Bombyx mori: one gene and its partners. The protein of the gene in region 1 interacts with the protein of each later gene in a pairwise test. Links are inferred from orthologs where the notes say so. Each region holds a gene or a part of one and is shown in the gene's direction. Other genes may lie near its edges. The genes, in order: protein bicaudal D, ras small monomeric GTPase Rab6 and Chc.

Evidence for each region.
Region 2: the proteins of protein bicaudal D (region 1) and ras small monomeric GTPase Rab6 interact in a two-hybrid assay, tested with the Drosophila melanogaster proteins (3 studies listed by BioGRID). The link is inferred for Bombyx mori from reciprocal best matches to the Drosophila melanogaster genes BicD and Rab6.
Region 3: the proteins of protein bicaudal D (region 1) and Chc interact in binary tests that used the Drosophila melanogaster proteins (3 or more experiments, as listed by UniProt). The link is inferred for Bombyx mori from reciprocal best matches to the Drosophila melanogaster genes BicD and Chc.

What each region holds. Positions count from the first base shown.
Region 1 is NC_085125.1:2,134,573-2,142,580, forward strand, and holds part of protein bicaudal D, read left to right. Parts: intron 1-773; coding exon 774-959; intron 960-1,881; exon of another isoform or gene 1,882-2,499; intron 2,500-4,191; coding exon 4,192-4,452; intron 4,453-5,170; coding exon 5,171-5,337; intron 5,338-6,297; coding exon 6,298-6,372; 3' UTR 6,373-8,008. UniProt on the Drosophila melanogaster protein: This protein is essential for differentiation. It may play a role in localizing of Nanos (a maternal determinant) activity in oocytes. Functions redundantly with BicDR.
Region 2 is NC_085111.1:16,050,189-16,058,724, forward strand, and holds the start of ras small monomeric GTPase Rab6, read left to right. Parts: upstream 1-4,045; 5' UTR 4,046-4,172; coding exon 4,173-4,242; intron 4,243-4,592; coding exon 4,593-4,651; intron 4,652-8,536. UniProt on the Drosophila melanogaster protein: Protein transport. Regulator of membrane traffic from the Golgi apparatus towards the endoplasmic reticulum (ER). Mediates membrane trafficking during egg chamber growth and organization, possibly upstream of exocyst component Sec5.
Region 3 is NC_085122.1:8,778,531-8,787,008, reverse strand, and holds the start of Chc (clathrin heavy chain), read left to right. Parts: upstream 1-3,808; 5' UTR 3,809-3,969; intron 3,970-4,123; 5' UTR 4,124-4,193; coding exon 4,194-4,235; intron 4,236-5,701; coding exon 5,702-5,927; intron 5,928-8,478. Other genes in the region: ubiquitin recognition factor in ER-associated degradation protein 1, read right to left, coding at 486-606, 698-700. UniProt on the Drosophila melanogaster protein: Clathrin is the major protein of the polyhedral coat of coated pits and vesicles.

The sequences.
Region 1 (8,008 bases):
GAGGGATGTGCGAGTCACATATTTATGCATTCGAATATATCATGCATTATTTATGCATGATATATTCGAAGAATAACCACATATGACGTCATGGACTTTGTTTGCTCAAGTTGACGTGAAAATATTATATATCGTCTTTTCGCATTAAAGTGCACAATTTCCTAAAATATTCCAAATTATGTTAATATGCGGAATCATTTCGATGCCTCCAATGAACACTACTCTAACTCAAAATTTGGAAATTCTCGTTTTTCACGCAGATCGTTTCACTATTTTAAAAGTATTAGAAATTCATTATTAATGGGGTTCGAAGCAAGAGTAAATCAACTAGTTACACAAGAAAAAACCATAAAATCTTTATTATTGCAGATATATTTATCAACTTTTTTCGTTTAAACTCTCCTCTTGTAAACTTACGAATTTGGAGTTAGAGTAGTGTTCATTGAAGGCATCGATTTGGTATCCCCAGTATTTTTCTCATAAATATTGTCAAGAGAGCGTACTTTAGTTTTTTTTTTTAGTTTACCTATGCTTTGACTAGTATTAACAAAATTAATACATAATTTTATCTTACTGTAAAAGACAGATAATGTAACTGGTAAAAAATTAAAAATAAAAGTTGCAAAGGGGATTAATATTAAAAATGTTACATGTTAAACCTTTAAAACACTCTCTTGTACAATTAGTAAATTTTGAGATTATACAGTTTTAATGCGATAACAGTTAACTGTTTGAGCAACAATATTTACATAGGCATGTTGGTTGGTGTGCAGGTCGCGAGGCCAAGTCCGGCGTGACGGAGGCGGAGGCGGAGGCGCTGTCGCTGGCGGAGGGGCCGCTGGAGGGGCTGCGCGCGGCCGGCTCCGTGGCCCGCGCCGCCGACACCCTGCTGGACCAGCTCGACCACCTGCGCGCCGCACTCGACACCGCGCTCGGCGCCAGGAGCCGCCAGCCGCGCAGTCAGTACCCACCCCCGCCCCGGGGTGTCCAACCACGCACCTTACATGCGTCTTCTTGTTTTTACCATCGCACCGCCCGCCACCGGAGTAGGGTCCATCCATACTACCTGGAGCCACTGCGGTCATCCACAGTGCGTTTCCAGAGGTATTTTTTGCCACGTACCATTCGGCTATGGAATGAACTCCCCTCCACGGTGTTTCCCGAGCGTTATGACATGTCCTTCTTCAAATGAGGCTTGTGGAGAGTATTAAGCGGTAGGCAGCGGCTTGGCTCTGCCCCTGGCATCGCTGAAGTCCATGGGCGACGGTAACCACTCACCATTAGGTGGGCCGTGTGCACGTCTGCCTACAAGGGCAATAAAACAAAACTTTGCTCTTAACACGTTGACTGCCGTGTAGGTCACCGATGCCCTACGTGGCACACTGAAGCAACTATGTCGATTTCTCTTTGTTTTTCTTACGTATATTCAGTAGACTAGGAAAGACGAATCCGAAGATACTGACAATGAATCTATTTCTAAGATACCTAAAAGACTAAAACATACATTATCAAACAAAAGAAGGCAAAGTTAAGCAATCTAGGCGCTAAGTAACAGAAATCGACATAATCACTTGAGTACGCCGCGTAGGACACCGGTGACCTACATGGCAGTGTATGGGTTAATAATCTTACCGGTGGTAGGACCTCTTGTGAGTCCGCACGGGTAGGTACAACCACCCTGCCTATTCCTGCCGTGAAACAGTAATGCGTTTTGGTTTGAAGGGTGGACAGCTGTTGTAACTATACTGAGACCTTAGAACTTATACCTCAAGGTGGGTGGCGCATTTACGTTGTAGATGTCTATGGGCTCCAGTAACTACTTAACGCCAGGTAGGCTGTGAGCTCGTCCACCCATCTAAGCAATAAAAAAAATATCGACAGGTCCCGTAGCTTCGATTTGTGAAAATCGTTCAAAAAAAGCAAAAGATATTGCCAACATAAAAATAAAAATGGCTGACGAAAGAAAAAAAAGTAATACAAACGTAACTCAATTAATCTGTAACGGAAGGAACGTTAAAGAGCTTACCGATTATTTTGAAAATATCACCGGTCTCCAATCGAACAGAAATTATATCGATACAGCGTTGAAACGTGCGAACTACAAAATCGATTCTAGTTTGAAGCATTCGAATAATTGCTTCGCACAATATAATGCCAAAAAATACGATACTAAATTTAATGGCAAAAGAAAACAGTTTCCCATAGCGAAGTCGCAAATCTCGAATCCAAATTTATCTCAATATCGAAATAAAAATCTCAGTTTGTACTCGATATGGAAAGATAAATTGTACAAGAGAGCATCTTTAGACGATGAGATCGATATTAAGAAAAGCGATCCTAAATCGTACAACTTGAAAGCATTTGTGAAATCGACTGTACTGACGTGCGTTTACGTGCTGCAATACATTCTGTGATCCCGAGCTCGTCCCGCGAAGTATAGTCCGTCAGATGCGGCGTGGCGCCCGGGACAGTTGTCGGCGGGACGTCATTAGGAAATAGGTTTGATATAACAAACCATCTGTCAAACGTATCACGCTGTAGTTAACGAACTATAACTATATAGTGTATTTAGATTTTTAATACGCTTTTATTAGCTTCAGACGTATGTATGTTTGTAACGGAATCTATGAACATGATTTTGACCCCCTTCAAAACGTCGGATTAACTCGAAATTTGGTATACTTATTAAGGACCGATGACAATACAATATTAGAAAAAAATTAAAAAAATTGATATTCAACTAATGAATGAAAAATATATAATAGTTTTAAAATACTAACAAAGCACGCTTTTATAGAAAATCCAACTAAAAAAACAGAAAATAAATTTTAATAAATTTGAATTAAAAATAATATAAGAAAAATGATTTTATTGTAAAAAAGCGTGGGGTGCATGGTATAAGTAGTTATAAATATTTTATAAACAGACATGAGCAGAAGGGTTATTTTGATAATATCCTGAAAAGCACCTCACGCTTTTTTACAATAAAATAATTTTTCTTACACTATTTTTAATTCAAATTTATTAAAATTTATTTTCTATTTTTTAGTTGGATTTTCTATAAAAGCGTGCTTTGTTAGTTTTCTTAAACTATTATTTAAGATAAATTGGGTTGCATCTAAGCAATGTTCTAGTTAGTTAGTGGACAGTTTACAGCTGTAGTGATTGTGTAGTAGAATTATCGATAAAGAAAATAAGACTGACTCGTTGGTGCAATAGTTAACGGCCTTGACTGTCGCGTCGAAGGACGTGGGTTCGATTCCCGCACCGGGAAAACGTTCGTGTGAAGAGCAAATTTGTTTGCTCATTATCTGGGTGCTTATTATCTAACGTCGTCGACTAATTTAGAAGTCGTCGTGGCCTAAAGGATAAGACGTCCGGTGCATTCGTGTTGAAGCGATGTAACGGTGTTCGAATCCCGCAGGCGGGTACCAATGTGGGTGTTTTGTTCCTAGGTATTTATTATTATTTGAAGAATTTTAATAAGGTTCATTTCACCCACTCGTCATTGTTGGGTTTTGAAGATTATATCTCCACGCCCTCACTAGTAACCAAAGATAATACGTGTCTGTGTGTCGTTAACTGCGTGCGGGCCCCGGCAGTCATGTCCCGCAACCCCTTAACTTGTTCTTCACACTGCCCTTCATTCACTCATGTTCATTCTTCATTCGTTCATTCAGTCGTAGAACCTTGTAGATTTTGATCTGAAAAATGAGCACCTACTGCCCATTCTTTATCTCTGTCGTCGCAAAGTGTGCAGTGCCTCGCGTCGCAATGCACACGCCAGGTGTAGTCCACAGCAGTCCGGGCCGAGTCGCCAGCCAGTTCCCCTTATTGAACTGGTGATTTACTGGTGGTAGGACCTCTTGTGAGTCTGCGCGGGTAGGTACCACCGCCCCGCCTATTTCTGCCGTGAAGCAACAATGCGTTTCGGTTTGAAGGGTGGGGCAGCCGTTGTAACTATATTGAGACCTTAGAACTTATATCTCAAGGTGGGTGGCGCATTTACGTTGTAGATGTCTATTGGCTCCAGTAACCACTTAACACCAGGTGGGCTGTGAGCTGGTCCACCCATTTAAGCCAAAAAATAATAATAGTGTAATTCAATTTGACATTGTTTTGCAGAATTCTAATATACCAGCACTTAGTAGTCGTTTTCTCGACCTCATCGAGAGTTTAATGTGCTCGCAGTGATGGAGACCACGGAGGAGCGCGGCGCCGAGCTGGCCGAGCTCCAGGAGCAGGTCATCAAGCTGAAGTCCCTTCTGTCGACCAAGCGCGAGCAGATCGCGACGCTGCGCACCGTGCTCAAGTCCAACAAGAACACGGCCGAGGTGGCGCTCGCGAACCTCAAGTCCAAGTACGAGACGGAGAAGACGATCGTCACGGAGACCATGCTCAAGCTCAGGAACGAGCTGCGCCTGCTCAAGGAGGACGCCGCTACGTTCTCGAGTCAGTACTGGCTTTTTTTTTTTTGCCGTTGTAGGCGATCACTAAATACTTAGAGGCCCGACACGTTGGACTGACCAGATCCGCACTACCCTCGATACCACAGTTCACGATGCTCTACACTCGGCGGCAGATAGAGGGAAATGGCGTGGAATGATCCGGAATAAACTCTTGTTGCGAGGGGGTGGTCACGACCCTCAGTATTGAGGAAACCAAACTAAGAAGAAGAAGGCAGACGAGCATACGGCCCACCTGATGGTGAGTGGTTACTGTCGCCCGTGGACTTCAGCAATGCCAGGGGCAGAGCCAAGCCACTGCCTACCGTTGAAAATGTTTCAAGGTGGTGTCTCAAAGTCAACATTAGTTGGGCTATGAGCTCGTTCACTCATCTTCTTCTATCTATATATAAAAACGAATTGCTGTTCGTTAGTCTCGCTAAAACACGAGAACGGCTGGACCGATTTGGCTAATTTTGGTTTTCAATTATTTGTGGAAGTCCAGAGAAGGTAGGAAGGTAGATAAAAATGAAAATGCTCTGAATTAAATAAAAATAACAATTTTGTTTTTCCTCTGATGTGTCCTCCGTCGGACGGATTCCTTTTGTTTTAAGTTTATGTTATACAAAAGCTTAGGTCTTTTATTTATCGATTGAGGCACTACGAAGTCTGCCGGGTCGGCTAGTGTGAAATAAAATAGCTAGATGTGTGAGCGTCCGTTCCAGGCTTGCGTGCCATGTTCGCGGCGCGCTGCGAGGAGTACGTGACGCAGGTGGACGAGCTGACGCAGGCGCTCTCCGGGGCCGAGGATGAGAAGAAGACCCTCAACCAGCTGCTGCGCCTCGCCGTGCAGCAGAAGCTGGCGCTCACGCAACGGCTCGAGGAGCTGGAGGTAATGGTCCTACTAACTAAATATAATAATAATATTAATTTACTCCACAATACAAATAACTTTCCAATTGACATGTCCTTCTTCAAACGAGGCTTGTGGAGAGTATTAAGCAGTAGGCAGCGGCTTGGCTCTGCTCCTGGCTTTGCTGAAGTCCATGGGCGACGGTAACCACTTACCATCAGGTGGGGCGTACGCTTGTCTGCCTACAAAGGCAACAAAAAAAAATATATGACCTAAATTTCTAATTATATCTAAACAATATTACAATTAATTATACTGACAGTGGAGATAAAAAGGCCGCGGCCCAGCTTTGTGGTAGCTGAAACTATCGCTGCTATTCTGCCGCTGCCTGTAATTTTAATCTATAAAATAATAAACTAAACTAATAAAACTAAAATAATATAGACTAATCTATAAAAAATAATCTAATAATACCTAAATTTAAACATGTGGCATAATCTACAAAATCCCTGCCTCCGCACTTTGTTGCTCAAGTAGAAATTCCCTACAAAAATATTTGAAAGGGTTAACTAACTAAATATAATAATCCGTCGACATCGAGCCAAAGGGTCGGATGTTCAAGGGTGTTTGAGATCATGTCCATCATACGAGCAACACACGCCGCGTCGGACACAACCGTCTAACCTCAGATGTAGGTAACCTGATTTAGGACTGGTGGTAGGACATTTTGTGAGTCCGCGCGGGTAGGTACCACCGCCCTGCCTATTTCTGCCGTGAAGCAGTAATGCATTTCGGTTTGAAGCGTGGGGCAGCCTTAACTTAACCACTTAACACCAGGTGGGCTGTGAGCTCGTCTACCCATCTAAGCAATAAAAAAAACATGTGATCAGACTCGATATGTTCGCGAATGCCGCGTCACGTAAGAGGAACTAGACATATTTGTGGATTGCTGCGTCACCGGTCCGCTGTGACGTCATCTGACAGTGACGTGTGTCGCAGGTGGACCGCGAGATGCGCTCCCGGCGCGTGCCCAAGGCGGGCGGGGTGCGGGGCGGCAGGGGGAGGGACTTCTAGCGACTGCTGGCGCCGGTCAAGGCCGTCGCCGTCCTGCTGCGCCGTCTGCTGCGGACCTAGGGCTCCAGCCTCACCGGCCCGGTCCCCTATTTGTACGTTTTGTAAACTTTTTAATGTAATGTGAATCGCGCCGCACGTCCGGCCCCCGTCGCGGCGCCGGTCCGGGCCTCGTCCGGCGCCGCTGGAACGGTCAAATTGCGGCGGGCTGCCGGACGCGGGCGCGGCGGTCCCCAGCCCGGGGCCGCGCCCGGCCTACCCCTTCCCTTTCCTCGGGACATATTTTCGTATCGATTTCTTCACTCGATATCGCGCGTCGACGCGAATCGATTATTTTTGTAACAGGACCGGTGTATTTTGTTAAGCGAATATTTATTGGCGCCGTTGTGGTCCGCGGTCTCCCCGCGCGCCGGACGGACGCGGCCCCCCGTTACGTCCAAATGTGAAATTTCTAAAGAAAAAGAATCATTATCGTCGACATCCATCCATTGCGTGCGCAAAAAGACTATGTAATCTGTTTACCGGGCGACGCGTCGGTCGCGTCGTCTCTGTCTCGTCCATGTTGTTGTAGTCGTGATGTTTGAGTTTGTTGGTGGATCACTGTGCCGTCCCAGTCGCGTCCATGCTGTCCACGCGCCGGCCGACTCTCCGTCTCTGTCGCACCCCCTCTGTCGGCAGTGTCGACCTCTCGCTCGCACAGCGCTCAACGCATTGCTCACGGAGTCGACCGGCGCATCTATTGATAAGTCGAAATTTAAAAAGTTATTGAATGTTAATGGTTTCGGTTGAGTCGCGCCGGGGCGCCCCGGCCTCCGCCCCCGGCCGCCGCCCCGGCCAGTAGAGTAGCTAGTAGCTCGCGACAGGCAGCTAGCCCGCGACTTGCATTTATTGTTTAACATAGTGTTTGTTAAATTAGACTAATTATTATTATATTAGGTCGTTCTTCGTGTACTTAAAAAGACGAACTTACCCGTTCTATACATAGCTTTAGCGTATCAAGTATTCTGTCCCCTCTACTAAGTATTATCGTTAGCCGTCGGTCCCCCCGCGTGGGGGGCGGCCCCCGACCCGAGCAGCGCGGCTCTGATATGTTTATTGTATTGGTTGTTAGTTTTGTTACTAAAAGTATTACTGCATGTGTTTCCGCATCCGTCTCTTTCTCATTGACATTGTTACATTTAGACTGACATGTTCTTTTACACGGTTTTCTGGTAATATTTATTATTAAAAATAGTTATTTATTTGACTTAAATATTATAAATAGATGTTGTATATTTTTCATTATTAAGAATTAGATAAACTTTTTACTATGTTTCGTGCAATGAAAGAAAAAAATGTTTTTTAGTATATAGTATTATTATGTATAGTACAGATTCAGTATTTTTTTGTTTGTTTATGGTTTACTATCGCTGTTGTCTGCTGTATGGGGTTAGAGCGATTAACCAAATATTATTATTTCCTTTGTGTAACAATTTTTTAGTACACTTATATTTGTGTAGGCATATTATTATTTTATATTGATTAGAAAGAGAACTTAGTGAAGAATTATTGATTTTGTTATTCGAAGATTTTTTTATATAGTATATTATTATCGGTGCGGCGTAGACATGGTCTGTCGGACGAGCGCGCATGAATGTTC
Region 2 (8,536 bases), on another chromosome or scaffold:
TCTGTGTGAAAGAGCAAGAGCTTTATTTATTAAATTAGGCCTGTAAGCATCTGTGGCGCATCTGTGGCGCGCATGGAGTTAATAAGTACCTACAACTGGAGTGCTGTCTAATGCCGAGAAATCGGTCTCGAAAGAGAATACTTTTTGGTCGCGGTGTCCTTGTCTAATGTGGTGACCATATATAATTTAATTATAGGACAAAATTATACACATGCATAAGTTTTGAATTTACCTTAAGTAATTCTGTGTAACCCTATGTAAATACAAAACACGTGCTTGCAACCTTTTATTTATGTAAATTCAATTCTAAGCATTGCTTCGTCGTCATGGTGACTTTTTTTCGACGGTTTTTTTTGGAAATTGCTGCGTTGTCGAAAATCTAGCACTGAGTTTTATTACAAACATCATTACCTCAGTTCTATTACTTAAACTTCCTCAAACTCGTGTTTAACGTCCGAATACTCAACCGCGACTTAAATAATATATTATGTTGAACTTAATTACGCAATTCCTACTTTAATGCACTGGCTAAGTGGGCCGTGCAAATTAATATTTGACACACTGAGTGAGACACTGCAACACACATGGTCTGCGCGTATCGGGTGCTCTTTTCCTACATTCACATCTTCAATTGATTTAAAATTGTTTGTATTTTTACTTCTGTGCTATTTTCATGACACGTGTATATTAAGTCTACTAGTTACATTTTAGGAAATAAAACACAATGGGTAATAAAATGAAATGAACTGAAATTCATTTATTTGTTATATGTAGACAATTAAATAACTCTTAAATGACAAGTCAATACACATAACACGATACACATAGTACTTGATCTCTATTTACAAAATATTGGTTATACATATTATTATTATTAAGTTCAGTTAATTTTCTGTAGTCTTATAATATAACATTTCCTCTATTTTAAATAAATTCTTTTTTTTCAACGAAATACATAATTTATTTTAATCAATATCTAAGTGGACCATGAGTATCATTAAAATTTCGCAATTTAAATTTCAATTCAATTAAAAATCGCCATTTTTCTCTAATAAATCTAAAATCGACTTTATATTTACAATCACTATTTCGCGACTTTTAAGTTTTTGTTTCAATACCTTAACATCTTGTCGTAATTTTGCTTTTCTCGGGGTATTTTTTATTTCTTGCGTTTGAGTACTTGATACTTCTTGTTTGACCTTTATATAGGACATTTTCCAGAAATTCCAACGTCATATTTACTAGAAGATCCTACTCGTTCGCTTAACGTCAGGCAAATGATATACATGCTTCCGTGCGACGCTATTCAATACAATAAAAAAAGTTCAAAAAATACCACGTGATGGCTCTTATAATATGAAAAATACATTGCAAAATTATAGTTTTCACGATTGTTTTTTCAAATTTAGTATATGACATAGATTAAGTACAATTTACAAGACAAATGGTATTAAATATTATAATGAGAAAAAATATCTCACATTTTAAAAATATATGCTCACACTAGTAAAAATTTATCAATGAATCTGACATATGGAAGGATATTCCACAAACTGGAGACGATTCTCGCTTAAAACCACTTACATTAAAAGTGTTCACCATGATTACACGGAAACTTTCACGATTTTCGAAAAAAAAACAAGCCACAAGCTGTATCAGTGCCATTTTAACTTCGCACTACAAACGTAAATAGACGCCATTTTTCTTTTAATCCATTCATAGCTCTTTTTCGGTGATGCCAACAATTAATCTGGCTTCCCACCAAATTCAACATGAAAACCATCAGAAATCTACGTACCTACCATTAAATTTTCCATTAAACAGAGTTCTTATTAACATAGAACAATAATTTTTTGTTAATAAGCTTTATTAATATATGATGTTCTATTAAAAATCAATATATATCATATAATCAATACTTCTTATATAATTTATTTTAATAAATTGTCATCATCAGAAACTAATTTCACCATAACTTTGTACGTTTATTTTGAACCAATTTAATTTTTGACGTTGATGGAAATTCTAAATTCTCGCAACATTTTCTAGTTAAGTTTAAGTCACATCGTTTAAATAATATGTATTTAGATATATTATTGTCATAAAATGTTTAAAATCCTGTAAAGTGGATTGATTTTAAACTTTTCGATAATTTTCAACAACACCCAAGCTACTAAAAAATCCACTAACCACTAAAAGCCATTTTTGATAACTAAGACGGGGGTCCAAATTCCGAGATTTTATGGAAAATCCTCTAAGCTAGCAACACTGCTTTTTGTTTGTAAAATGTGTGAGAGGGACACCACCACTTAATAATCATTCTCTTTTCAGACCGTTTTTCCTTACATCTTTTGCTATTTAAAAATAAACTTTAAGCCATAGAGATAAAGTATATTTTTAGTTTTTATGTCAAACGAAGTAAGCACTCCAGTTAGAATAGTAACTCTATGGTGGCGCGACCATGGAGTTAATAAGTACCGGCGCGACCTTTTCTATTTAAGGGATTTTATGACCTGGTAACTAAGACCTTTAGGTCAAATCTTATTTTAAATAATGAAATGAAATGAAGTTGATTAATATGAAACATGGCATGAAATGAAATGAGATTGTATGGGATGAAATATAATCTCAGTAAGGTGGTGGTCATTTACTGAGACTTTTTCAGTGGACTTTTTGGAGGATCCCGAGAAGTTACGTTCAGCGGCTTTGTTTCATTTTCCCACATTTGTGCACTTTCACAGATATGAAACAGTAAATAAACCACCGTTAATACACATTTAAACCTGAAGAAGGAAACACTAAATAGACAAAATAAAACAAATCACACAACTTCACTCTTCGCGTTCCCGCCAAAAATATAACGAGTTTTATTATGTGTGTCACTGTGTGTTCTGACCACTTAGGTACCTACTTTCAATTCTAGTCGAGTCACAGCAATAAACACATCTAACGAAAATATCACATTGCCCTGCATTGTCCATTTAAGCATCGATTTCTATTGGTTGATTTCGAGTGCACATCCCTTAATTATGCTTAAACTAAACTATGACAACTAAAATAAGCTTATTTTGTAAAAAAATAGAGAACGTTAATGTAACTTATCAAAATTTTTATTGAGATGGCGTCAGGTTGACAAAGCCAGTTACATTTTACATAATTTAACACCCGGTGAGCCATGAAATTATTCATAACATATCCATAGCATAATAATTAGCCAATCATGCCTAACAAAAAAGAATGTGTTTATAAAATACAAGATGTGGTGTCGTGGGACACCAGGTAGGAACGAAGTTCCTTCGGCTAATGTAGAATCGACACAATTTGCAAAAAAAAAATCGTGCTCAATTTTATGTAGGTTTTCTTGATTTTTCTCTTAAATTTTGCTGATTAGTTTTTATTTAAATACAGGAGAGTATTTAGGAAATTCAATATTTTAGGAAATCATAAATTACGTAAAATAAATAAATAAAACTTAATTCAAATTATCAATTAAAATAACAAAATATATCTTTATTTTTGTTTGACAACATAAAATTACATAGAAATAGAAATAATTACAAAATAGAGAGAGAAGGGATGAGAGAACGAAAAGAAAGAAGGAGAAAGAGAAAGGAATTCTAAACTATTTGCTTGTGTATACGACTGTCGCGCCTGCGCACGTCTCATTTAACGGTTTTATTCCACGGACTTTTTCTTACGGTTTTACTATCACATTTTTTCAGTTCGGTCGCGCAGCAAAATCCCTATCTCCTCCAAGCCTGCCGTAAGGAACTTCGTTCCAATAAAATATCATTCCCAAAAATGGATGGATGTCTTTGTTGCAATCAGAATAATAATTGTATCGTTCGGAAACGTATATACTTTCAAGAAAATCAAATACATAGTTTAGAAAGAAACTTAAATTAGGAATGTATTTTCATTGTTTTAGATCCCAATCTAAAATACGAATTGAAATGTTTTTTTTTGTTCGCAGTATGCTATGTTGAGTCATTAGTAGATTTGCTGAGTTGGCTAGTTCGTCGCGCCGTCAGTCTGCCGTAACGTGGCGGCGCTGCGCTCGCCTGTCGCAGGAGTGGTTCGAACTGTCATTGTGGAACGTTCATTTTCATGTAGTTTTCTGTGATAAGATTACTGTAAAATTATAGTTTAGCGTAATAATTAAAACAATAACGATGTCTACATCGGGTGAATTTGGTAATCCTTTACGCAAATTCAAGCTTGTCTTTCTCGGCGAACAGAGTGGTAAGTATACGGCAAAAATGTAGTTTTGCTCTTGTACATTTTTAATATACAGTTTTGAATTTACGATATGTAAGGATAGATTCGTCTAGACTTTATTGAATTACTGACCTAGATAGTCCGGGCTGGGTTTTAAAGGCAGTTTTTTTCTCATTGCTCTTCGATTATAGTTTTTTAATGTAATTTCGTTTCTAGAGCGCTGAATTACGTGACTGATGTAGGTTACGTTCTCTCATCGTATTGTGAGCGTACAATGTTCTCACGGTTGTGCCGCTATCGAAAATAAATTTTCTTATTAATTCGCGTGTAGTGCGATAATGGGATTGAATGGTATGACATTGTTTTTCTTTCAGTTGGGAAGACGTCTCTCATCACTAGATTCATGTACGACAGCTTCGACAATACTTATCAGGTGAGTCAGAGACCTATGCAGTCGTAAAAGTATAAACTATCAAGCCATGGTTTCAAAAATTAAGTTCGATACATTTGATAATTTTCATCATTAAACTTGATCAACATAGAAATACAGCTATGGATACGTTTGACAAAGTAAATTCTTATTATTTATCCTTAATTGAATACTTATAATCATAAGCTTTAAGACTTGATCACTTAAAATAAAAAATGCATTTTTTGTTGAACATTTATTATTGTTAATAACTTTTGTTCTGTAATAAAAATACAAAAATTAGCATTCACATTTGAAATGTTTTTCCACAACACATTGATTGCTAATTATAAAATATCTTAACCTATTTTATTTTTATTATTAAATTTTAGCTTCTGCTGTAGAATTAATGTTTCTTTACTCATCCCATCAAAACTTAGATACTCTTGTGGACACCAAACTTTTGTTAAGCACCTAGCATTATTTGAGATTATTGAGAGAGCTTTTTAGCCCCTCCTACATAATGTTATTCTAGTCCATTTTACCCATAAATCTTTGGATGTCACAGGTTTTGAATAAAGTTCAAAGGTTGCAAAAAAATAATAGAGTGAACTATAATTAAAATTTTGTTCACATTTAAATTGGGTCTAGAAATTAATACAGATTGAGGAATTTGATTTGCTGTGATCCATATTAGAAAATCCCTTACAGTAGTTTTTTAAATTAACAATTTATCCTTTACAAATGTATTTATTACTTTGTACAATGTAATTAAAAAGATGTAACTAAGATGATATGTCTGTCTGTCTGAAGTCTCAAGGGAATGTGTGTGATCTCCCTTCTTGTTACATTACACTCTCACAATATATTTATATGCGAAATATCATTATAATGTATATTTCATTCAACTAGTATTCACTTAAAGGCTGAAATTCATCTATAAAATCAATGACATTTTAAAATTTAGATTCATTATATTAAGGGGTGAAGGGTTATTTGTTTAAGAGACATTTATCTAGGTATTAGGTATTTATTTGGTACTAGCTGTACCCGTCCGCTTCGCTGGGCATTTAAAATTAACATTATTATTTCTCACCCCCACAAAGATTCTCATCATTAACACCCCTGCAACTGGTGTAGGGAGTCCAACACTCATATAAATATAAGCCTATCCATTAAGTACATGTATTTTCTACACGGATACCAAGTTTCAAGTCCATCGGATGGATGGTTCAGTAGTTATAATGGAACATCAGTAAAAACCACAGTAAATTTATATATTAGTATAGATTAGCATCAACAATTCGATGTTTTTAATTAAACTCCAATTATGTTATTCCAATTTAAGTTGCGGTAGCATATTTTTTCCAAATTTTTATCTTTAAATGGCCCTCTCGTGAAGTTACAAAACTGTCTAAATGTTTAAACCAAATGGATTACGCGACATTTTTGTGTGTTAGCCATCGACATTTGGTTTGTAAAAGTGCCAACAAGAATTTTCCATTTTTACCATGGTGACATGAAAGTCAGCTGAAAAACAAGACAACAAGAACTTCTTGTCTTTGCCTATTTATAAATATTATTTTCCATTTACCTACTCTATGCTAGAAGTTTATTGTTGTTTTGGCTTAGCAATGGACACGACACCCTGTATTATTCAACATCGAATCCACACAAGGCATCCATAACTCTTCTAAGATCTCAGATAATACGAGTGCAGCATCCAGGAGCTACTGCTGCTATTTCTCTATCATCACCTCGATGTAACAATAGCCCCATCTATTTTCCTATCTAATTTGATAATTCCTAATCTCCTAGAGTGGTTACTACTTACTAAGATGTTGCTTTTTAATTCTGCACTATAAAGAAGATTTTTGGTATAATACGATTAAGCTTGTAAGTTATGTTTGTTTTGAAGTCGTCGTGGCCTAAGAGATAAGACGAATCCCGCAGGCGGGTACCAATTTTTCTAATGAAATACGTACTCAACAAATGTTCACGATTGACTTCCACAGTGAAGGAATAACATTGTGTAATTTAAGTGAAACCCGCAAAATTATAATTTGCGTAATTACTGGTGGTAGGACCTCTTGTGAGTCCGCGCGGGTAGGTACCACGACTCCGCCTATTTCTGCCGTGAAGCCGTAATGCGTATCTGTTTGAAGGGTGGGGCAGCCGTTGTAACTATACTGAGATCTTAGAACTTATATCTCAAGGTGGGTGGCGCATTTACGTTATTGATGTCTATGGGCTCCAGTAAACACTTAACACCAGGTGGGCTGTGAGCTCGACCACCCATGTGCGATGATGTATTGTTCAAAAAATGTTTTCATTGTGTTTTTTTTTTTTTTTTTTTTTTTTTTTTTTTTTTTTTTTTTTTTTTTTTTTTTTTTTTTTTTTTTTTTTATTGCCCTTGTAGGCAGACGAGCATACGGCCCACCTGATGGTGAGTGGTTACCGTCGCCCATGGACTTCAGCAATGCCAGGGGCAGAGCCAAGCCGCTGCCTACCCACTACACGTTATTGACTCCCACGGCGAAGCCCCTCCCGAATTCATTGGTGTGCGAAAAAAGCATTTTAAAGTTAAATCACCGATATAAGATTCAGACCAATCTATAGCATCACATCAAAACACAATGATTACATCATCACCGTTAGTCATGCAAGCTCATGAATATTTAACATGATTATATTATTACAGAGCTTTTGTAACAGGTTTTTGCCACTAGAATGTAGACAATTTCACTTTTTACGATTTAGAAAGCAAATAGAAATGACCTTTCAAATTGAGCCCCAAGGGTTGTCTTCTAAGGTTATAATATATTCAGTCAGGGGTCTATAGAACGCCTCGTTGTACAGGGAAGGGTTGATGTACAAGACCGCACAGGAGGTCACCAATGCGGTGGACCGACCAAATTAAAACTGCAGTGGGAGGTCCCCTAAAAGAGTGCAGCAGAATGGGCTCGAATAGGGAGAGATGGCGGGACATCGTGAGACGCATCAAGTCTGCCTCTTCCAACACTACATCACGATCAGGACCACTCTGTCAAGAGTGATACGATTGAGAAGAATATTCAGTTAGGATATCATGGAAATATTGAATTGTTCATTCAGTGTATTACTTTAAAGCATTTGGAGATGGGAATCACCGTACTTTAAGTAATAAGATACGCGTAGAAACAATTCATATACATAACTGATAATTCGTCGACCTAAAATTAAACTTGCATCCCACTATAATGTTACTTCTGAGATCATTTACATCTGTGGTCCGTTGTCTTCGTGTCTTTCATGCGAAGTTTCAAGTTCAAGACAGATTGTGCCATTGCGTTCTTAGGCTTTCCGAAAGTTTGTCACAATATTATATAATATGCATAAACTAGCGACCCGCCCTCGCTTCGCTTAGGAAACTGTAATTTATTATTGATTTTTCCACTATTTAATGGATGTTATTATACATATAAACCTCTCACTTCAATCACTTTATCTTTTAAAAAAAAACCGCATCAAAATCCGTTGCGTAGTATTAGAGATATAAGCATACATAGGGATATAGGGACAGAGAAAGGGACTTTGTTTTATATTATGTAGTGATAGTGATGGTATGGCTAAATATAAATATATATATAAATTAAATGGCCCCGAATTCTGTAACCATCTGAGCAACTTGAAAGTTGATACTGAGTTGGATATTGACAATATATGGGATCACCTTAGCAAATCCATTGTAAAAGCTGGTAATATTACTCTTGGTCGTACAAAAGGTGGTACAAAAGGTGGTAGCAATAAAGAGACTTGGTGGTGGACAGAAGCAGTGCAAAATGCCATTCAAAGGAAAAAAGATGCCTTTAAGACCTGGCAGTCCACCCAAACTTCTGAAGACCAAGAAAGATATAAAAGAATAAAGAA
Region 3 (8,478 bases), on another chromosome or scaffold:
GCAGTAATGCATTTCGTTTTGAGGGGTGGGGCAGCCGTTGTAACTCTACTGAGACCTTATAACTTAGATCTCAAGGTAGGTGGCGCATTTAAGTTGTAGATGTCTATGGGCTCCAGTAACCACTTAACACCAGATGGGCTATGAGCTCGTCTAGCCATTTAAGCAACAAATAAAAAAAAGAAAACAACAATGAAGAGAAGAGCATATGATGCTTTACCTATCAAATTTTAATGCATATGATAGGTAATGCAAAGACTTTCTCAAAGTGAGTGAGTGATTAGGGTGTGTGTCAATGGGCTCCAATAACGACGATACACCAAGCTTATGAAATCTATTAATTATCTGTGATGATAAAAACGCAGCATTAAGAACTTTTCGACTGGTTCTCTAAGAGAAGTTTTTCCAAAAAGTCTTTGCAAATAAAAAATAATAATGAATCAGACAATGGACACAAAGATGTCATTTGTTTTTTGTTAGCTACTCACTTTTACCACCTCTTTCAACGTCCTGTCTCTCATTCCCAGGTAACATAGAGACTGAATAGCATCTATAAGTCATATTAAATGGCCTAGATATTTCGTGAAACATATTGAATCCGAATTGAAACTGAAAAGATATGTTTAGTTTAGGGATTTCATTAATACGTGGAATCTCTTAAATTCGTTGCCTTGTCATGATTATTAACAAAATAAATTACCATTTCGATTTTCGTTAGTTTAAGCAGATATCTGAACTCTTATTTGTAAGTATTAGAAAATTAATTTAATGCAATTCATGCACAATGTACAAAAGTTCAACACACTTGTCTTTACTTAGCGAGCAAATCATTTAACATTTACAAAACATTAACTTTGACATTTTTGACAGCAGTAGTCTTCTATTTTTGTAACGGTAAAACGCAAAGGTATCATACCACACATTCAAAAATGATTTGAGACTTCAGTGGACTTTTTAAAAGAACCCGAGAAGCCACTTCCAGCGGCATTGTTTTATTTTTCCATATTTGTGAAGTTTCACAGATGCTAAACAGTTAATAAATCACTGTGTCATCTACACGTTTAAACCTGAATAATCTAAATTATCAAAATAACACAGTTCATTTAATTCGGCAACACTTTCCGCTGAAAGGTCCTACAGTTAATTTTATGCTTAAAATGTTACCTTTTCCTAACAGTCTATGAAACTCAGAGAAAAGAACTATGAAAGAACAGTCGGAGTCAGAGTTTAACGTTATGTTGAGATCAACGGAGTGTGGCGAATATAATGTCCACGTCTAGATTAGTTCACGTAGAACGACTTCAACCTAAATATTTAGAATAAGTAGGAATGGAGTTGAAAAATATAAAACGAATGATAGCGGACGTTAATAGAAGAAAATAGACCTGAAAAAACATGTGATTGATATTATATCATACAGATAATCGTGTTTAATTAAATCCTATATGTCGTCTCAATAAATTATTTGAGGACGAATATGATTTGGATTTTAACAAATTAATGAACTTTGATTTTCGCATGGAAAGCGAGATTGGAAAGCGAAAATTTCAGCGAGATTTAATCATAGATTTAAATTTAAAACAGAACTCTAAGCCCAAACAAACTGCTGGAACGCATTCTGGCAGCCCGCATCATCCAGCATCTGATCGGGGTGGGACCCGATCTGTCGGCGGAGCAGTATGGCTTCCGAGAGGGCCACTCAACGGTGGACGCGATCCTTCGCGTGCGGGCCCTCTCGGAGGAGGCCGTCTGTGGGGGTGGGGTGGCCTTGGCGGTGTCGCTCGACATCGCCAATGCGTTTAACACCCTGCCCTGGTCCGTGATAGGGGGGGCGCTGGAAAGACACGGAGTGCCCCTCTACCTTCGCCGGCTGGTCGGCTCCTACTTGGAGGACAGATCGGTCACGTGTACCGGACACGGTGGGGTCGTACATCGGTTCCCGGTCGTGCGCGGTGTTCCACAGGGGTCGGTACTCGGCCCTCTTTTGTGGAATATCGGGTATGACTGGGTGCTGAGGGGTGCCCTCCTCCCGGGCCTAAGCGTAATATGTTACGCAGACGACACGCTGGTCGTGGCCCGGGGAGGGAGCTTTGCTGAGTCTGCTCGTCTTGCCACCGCTGGGGTAGCGCATGTCGTCGGCAAAATCAGGAGATTGGGCCTCGACGTGGCGCTCAGTAAATCCGAGGCCATGTGGTTCCACAGGCCCCGGAGAGTGCCACCTGTCGATGCCCATATCGTGGTTGGAGGCGTCCGGATCGGGGTCGGGGTGCAGTTAAAGTACCTCGGCCTCATTCTGGACAGTCGTTGGACCTTCCGTGCTCACTTTCAGCACCTGGTCCCTCGTTTGTTGGGGGTGGCCGGCGCGTTAAGCCGACTTCTTCCCAACATCGGGGGGCCTGACCAGGTGACGCGCCGTCTCTATACGGGGGTGGTGCGGTCAATGGCCCTATACGGAGCACCCGTGTGGGGCCAGTCCCTGGCCGTGGGGGTAGCGAAGTTGCTGCAACGGCCGCAACGCACCATCGCGGTCAGGGTCATCCGTGGTTATCGCACCATCTCTTTTGAGGCGGCGTGTGTACTGGCTGGGACGCCGCCTTGGGTCCTGGAGGCGGAGGCGCTCGCCGCTGACTATCAGTGGCGGGCTAACCTTCGTGCCCGGGGCGTGGCGCGTCCCAGCCCCAGTGTGGTCAGAGCGCGGAGGGCCCAATCTCGGCGGTCCGTGCTGGAGTCATGGTCCAGGCGGCTGGCCGATCCTTCGGCTGGTCGTAGGACCGTCGAGGCGATTCGCCCGATTCTTGTGGATTGGGTGAATCGTGACAGAGGACGCCTCACTTTCCGGCTCACGCAGGTGCTCACTGGGCATGGTTGCTTCGGTGAGTTCCTGCACCGGATCGGAGCCGAGCCGACGGCAGAGTGTTACCATTGTGGTTGCGACTTGGACACGGCGGAGCACACGCTCGTTGCCTGCCCCGCATGGGAGGGGTGGCGCCGTGTCCTTGTCGCAAAAATAGGAAACGACTTGTCGTTGCCGAGTGTTGTGGCATCGATGCTCGGCAACGACGAGTCGTGGAAGGCGATGCTCGACTTCTGCGAGTGCACCATCTCGCAGAAGGAGGCGGCGGGGCGCGTGAGAGACGCACAAGCCCGCCGCCGTCGAGCGGGGGCCAGGGAGGCGGATCTCGCCCTAGCCCTGGCCCTCTAAGTGTTTCGGGTCCCCCTCATATGTCGGTCTGGGGCCCGGCGAAGGGGGCCTAAGAAGACGACGTGCAAGCTGCTCTGCACGCGTTTTACGCAAGAGCATCCGGGTGATGGAAGGCCGGCTATCCTTGACCCACGCTGGTTCTGACCCAGCGGGGTATTTCGTAGGATAACCAATTCAAACCGGCGCCATCTAGGCGGGCTTCGGACAGCCTGCCGACCGAGAGGGCTGGTGGTCGTGGCGCCGACGATCGCTGGCCCGGCGTCCCGAGGGGGAGGGTGATGGGAGAGATGTGCTCCGCACTAAACGCTTCACTCTCCTCCCCTTGCCTTTTCATGAGTTCTGTCTCATGCGAGGGTTGGACGTTGGTTGTTGAGCGACAGGAGGTTTTAGTCGGTTCGACTCCGACATGCCCCACCCTCCATCCCCAGTGGAGGGTGGGAGTCCGGCGATTTCCTCCTGACAAAATAAAAAAAAAAAAAAAAAAAGCCCAAAAGGGTACTAAGGGTATTATATGAGCCATGCTATCAAGTCTTTCAATTTTATTTTTGGAATATTTTGATTGCATCTCTAGACTACTATTAGATGCGATCGCATCATAATGAATGCAGAAATTGTGATTGAAGTTTATATCATGCTTTCTCTTTCTCTTTTGTCTACCATTTCATTCATTTGTATATGTGGCATCCGAGGGTGTACATTATTCGTCATATTACTCCGAAACAGCCAAATTTATCCGCCCCTATTCTTCTTCATGTAGAATTCTAGAAGTTGTAAGTACGATAGGTCATCTATCGTTTATAATCAGTAAATTGTTTTTGTCGCGATCCGGTCGTTGTCATTTCTTTCTCTAACGAACGCCATGTTGATTGTCAAAAGTGTTTTCCGATGAGACATCAGTGAAATTGATTTGTGCTATCTTTTCAGAGTTCGCGATTTTAAAAGGGTCGCCCGTTTTTTCGTTTTCGGTTTGTGTAGGACGGAGTGATCAATAAACATGGCGCAAGTATTACCGATACGGTTTCAAGAACATTTACAGGTGAGTACGCCCATCAGTTTATTGCATTTACCGATCATTTCCTTTTAGGAACTAAGGGCCCCCTAAGAAAGTGTATTAGGGATGGGTAGTGAAACTTTTTAATGAATTGATCAAAAAAATGTAAGGTAATGAATGCTTTTTTCATTACTTAGACAGTGTCCACCCCCTACGTGCAAGTCGAGTTGAAGCCAGTAGGTATTGATTTGTTCCAAATTCAATTTGCGATCATATGATTGGGGGTTGAAACGCTAGATGGGGGTTATTTTTTATTAAACGCGAAGTTTTAAATATAATTTTCTTTTTAATTTCAAATCTCGTGATTGTCAATGTATACATTATTGGCATCTGTGGATTTTGTTCAAAGAGGATAAGGTCTAAAAAATCGAACACTATTTTTATTTCTTTATAAAAATTCACCTACCTTCAACAAAATATTGTTCCTTGAAAAACAATTTGTGATAATTTAACTACATTCCAATTTTATCAATACTCAGGATTATAACAAGTGAAAATCGCATCAGTTCTCTTTAGTGAATTAAACCTAATATAAATTTAAAATAAATTAATGATTAAAAATAACCAAATAATTATATACCATAAGATATCTTATGCAATGTAGGCACTTGAATAACATTTGTAGTTGTAGGTAAAATATATCTTAGAATAAAAATTGATGTCTTCATCTGTAAGAAAGCTAAAGAAAACTATTAGGAGGGGAAATTAATTATTTTAACATCTTATATGTCATAAAATTTAAGAATAACATTATTTGTGAAAAATGAGTTTTAAGTGATAATTAAATGAAGTATTTTAGTATACTTAGTGGTTTTTGATTTTTTGTGTGGAGTTTTTAAATTTAGTATTTGGTTATCTTGTAGTATGTATCTAATTACACATACTATAAAGCCCTAGACACCTTTGAATTAAACGCCTTCAGCTCTAACACTAGGAGCAGGCTTAGGGACCCCGGTAACCGTACTCGTCGAACTCGGCAAAGAGTTCGCCGTGCAACCTAACCCATGAATCAGCTCGCTGAGTTTCTCGTCGGATCTTCTCAGCGGGTCGCGATTCCGATCCGGTAGTAGTTTCATTTGCGAAGCAGCTGCTCTTGAGCTGTTAGGTCTCCTTCAGAGGCGCTCGGGTAGCTGTTAGCAAATCCCACCCCTCCTGGCTGAGCCTTTGCTCGCCCACCTGTCCTGGTGAAACTGGAAAGGCCTCTGGGCCACCAGTAATCCTTCAATCATAAAAAAAAACATACTATAAAAAGAATCTCAACTAAAATTTAAGGCTCTTTTAAAAAATTGTGTTCAAATATGATATATTCATAATTTTATAAAACTGTTCCAAACATGTAAGATAGTTCTGTATGTGATTTATTTGTATTATATAACATATTAATTGCTCATCTGAACATGGAAGGTTGATGGAACATGGAACATGATTCTGTTAAAAAATGTTTTTTTCAGCTTACCAATGTGGGAATCAATCCTGCTTCTATTTCTTTCAACACTCTCACCATGGAATCGGACAAGTTTATCTGTGTTCGCGAGAAGGTTGGTGAGACTGCAGAAGTTGTCATTATTGATATGGCAGATCCAACAAATCCAATTCGACGACCAATCAGTGCAGACTCTGCTATCATGAATCCAGCTAGTAAAGTCATTGCTTTGAAAGGCAAAGCTGGTGTTGAAGGTAAGATAGTAATTCATCTATGTCAATATATGGTAGAATTATCTTATAAGTTGATTAAGTTTAAATTTCAATTAGTGCAGTATGTGGAGACATCAAAAAAGATTCAAATGCAGTAATTTATTTTTTATGTTTTTTATTTAAATTAATACTGACTTGTTAGTTGCGTTAGCAACTAAAAAGGGAACATGTTTGCTCACTAGGCAGACAATCTGAATGTTGCTTGGAAGTGTTTTGATTTTGTTGTTACAAAATTCAGATTCTTGCCAGTTTTATGGTAATAGTTTCTGCTGCAATTGGTTTCAAATGTAAAAGTAAATTTTGATCATTAATATATATGGCCGAAAATTGTTAGCCAGGGCCCTTAAATGTAGCAAGTTAAGAAAACAAAATTATGATTTTAACAAAAAAAAAAAAAAACTTATAATAACTTATGAGAAACAGGATTTTTACCTCTTCTTTTTAGTTTATTTTGTGTTATCCAGAGAAAAAACAAAGAAAATATGCTAGTGTGGAGCTAATGCAACACGCATTTATCTTTATTCTATAGACTTAAGGAAGTTGTGGGTTGCACAGAAATAAAGATTACATAATACTTCAAATTTCGACTTCATCTATTATAAGCTTCCAAATTCTATTTGCCTACATGTCTAAAAACGGTATGAATAAGTCAAGAAGACGAAAAACGAAAAAAAAGCGTGTATATTTATATAAAATTATACAGATGGTTAAAAAGTGAGCACAATGTATTAGAATTAAAAAAGAAAACTATTTTCATTGAGAATGCTTTTGTGTAAAGAAATGACATACTAAATATCCTGCTGGGCGTTTCTTGTTGTTTTATCATCGTGTGGTTAAATTTAGACGCGATTGTAACGCCCAACACAAAGACATAGTCCCAAGAAAGCTTTCTTTGTGCGTTAAACAGGTGATAATTACGCAAAAGGGATCTATTCAATATTGTAGTTAATATAAAAATATGATGTGTACTTATTTAAATAAATATTTATGTAAACATAACCAAAAAATTCATTACATAACACTTTTCTTTTATTGAGTTTCAATTTAATATTTTTCTGGGTTATCATTTTAATAAGTGAATCAGGACAATTAAATAATTAGAAATCGTCCTTCTAATTTCTAACACGAGTCATTCGTACCGTGTTATACGAAACAGGGTATACCGTGTAGTATCGAGGCCTTGTATTCGAGATCGTGTTATACGAAGCCCCGGGGATTTCCCTTATTGAATGCAATTCAAAAATACATTTAAATTTCCAATGCAAATTCGATATTTTGAAATCGTGTTATTTTAAAACCGTATTATAATTATTATTCTTAATTCTTGTACCGTCTAATATCGAAACCGTGTTTTACAAGTACCGTGTTGTACGCGAGACGCCTGTAATATGTAATACATATATATATATATATAAAAATGAATTGCTGTTCGTTAGTCTCGCTAAAACTCGAGAACGGCTGGACCGATTTGGCTAATTTTGGTCTTGAATTATTTGTCGAAATCCAGAGAAGGTTTAAAAGGTAGATAAATATGAAAATGCTCGGAATTTAATAAAAATAATAATTTTGTTTTCCCTTTGATGTGTCCCCAGTCGGACGGATTCCTTTTGTTTGTTTAAAGCTTAGGTCTTTTATTTATAGATTGAGGCACTACGAAGTCTGCCGGGTCAGCTAGTATGTAATAAATAAAATGACGACATTTTGTAACGAAAAGAGTCAAATTACGCCCATGATATTAACGATGTTCGAACACTACTCTTGAACGTTAATATTATAAGAATGCCAGTGACGACACTATTGAATTTGTTAAATTACTCTAGGCTTTAGGGTAATGGAGCTCACGATCCAACTATTACTAAGCTTTTTTGTCATTAATCGCGAGAGGCTATTATTCTGACTTCACCTGGACTAGTGTGCGAGATCACAGGCCTCGGCCTGAAATAATTTGCTAATACCGGGACATGTGCAAGCAGAGATATCTGCTTCACTTAATCTATTACCGGACCAGAATCTCGGCCCACTGTGAAGATCCGGCGAGGAACAGTGCATCGGCTATCGGAGCCCATGAACATCAAATCATAAATTCCACAAATACGTTTTAACCGGAATGCATCACTGCTTCTCGACATGTGGAATGGTGATGCTCGCTTTCTTGTGTAAGCTCAATACGGAAATTCAAATTGTTATTGTGCGATCCCATCAAAAAGTAGTTTGAGCACATGTATGGTACGGTCTATGTATTTAGAAAAGTCGGTACCGGTCATCGAACTCGAACGCAGGCACAGTCGCAATACACAAAAAGTTATCCACTTATCAGTTTTGTCTGTATAAGTGAACAACAATAATGTGTCATCAAACAAACAAAAAAATATATTATACTAAAAGGAAGATAAAAAATATTTTGTGTATACATATTAATTCCGTTTTAATTGAAGCTTGCTACAAAACAAAACATTACTCTTATCACATCTGTCTAGTAAATTAAAAGCTTTGGATATGTTAAGATAATAAATAACAATTTGCGATTGACGAT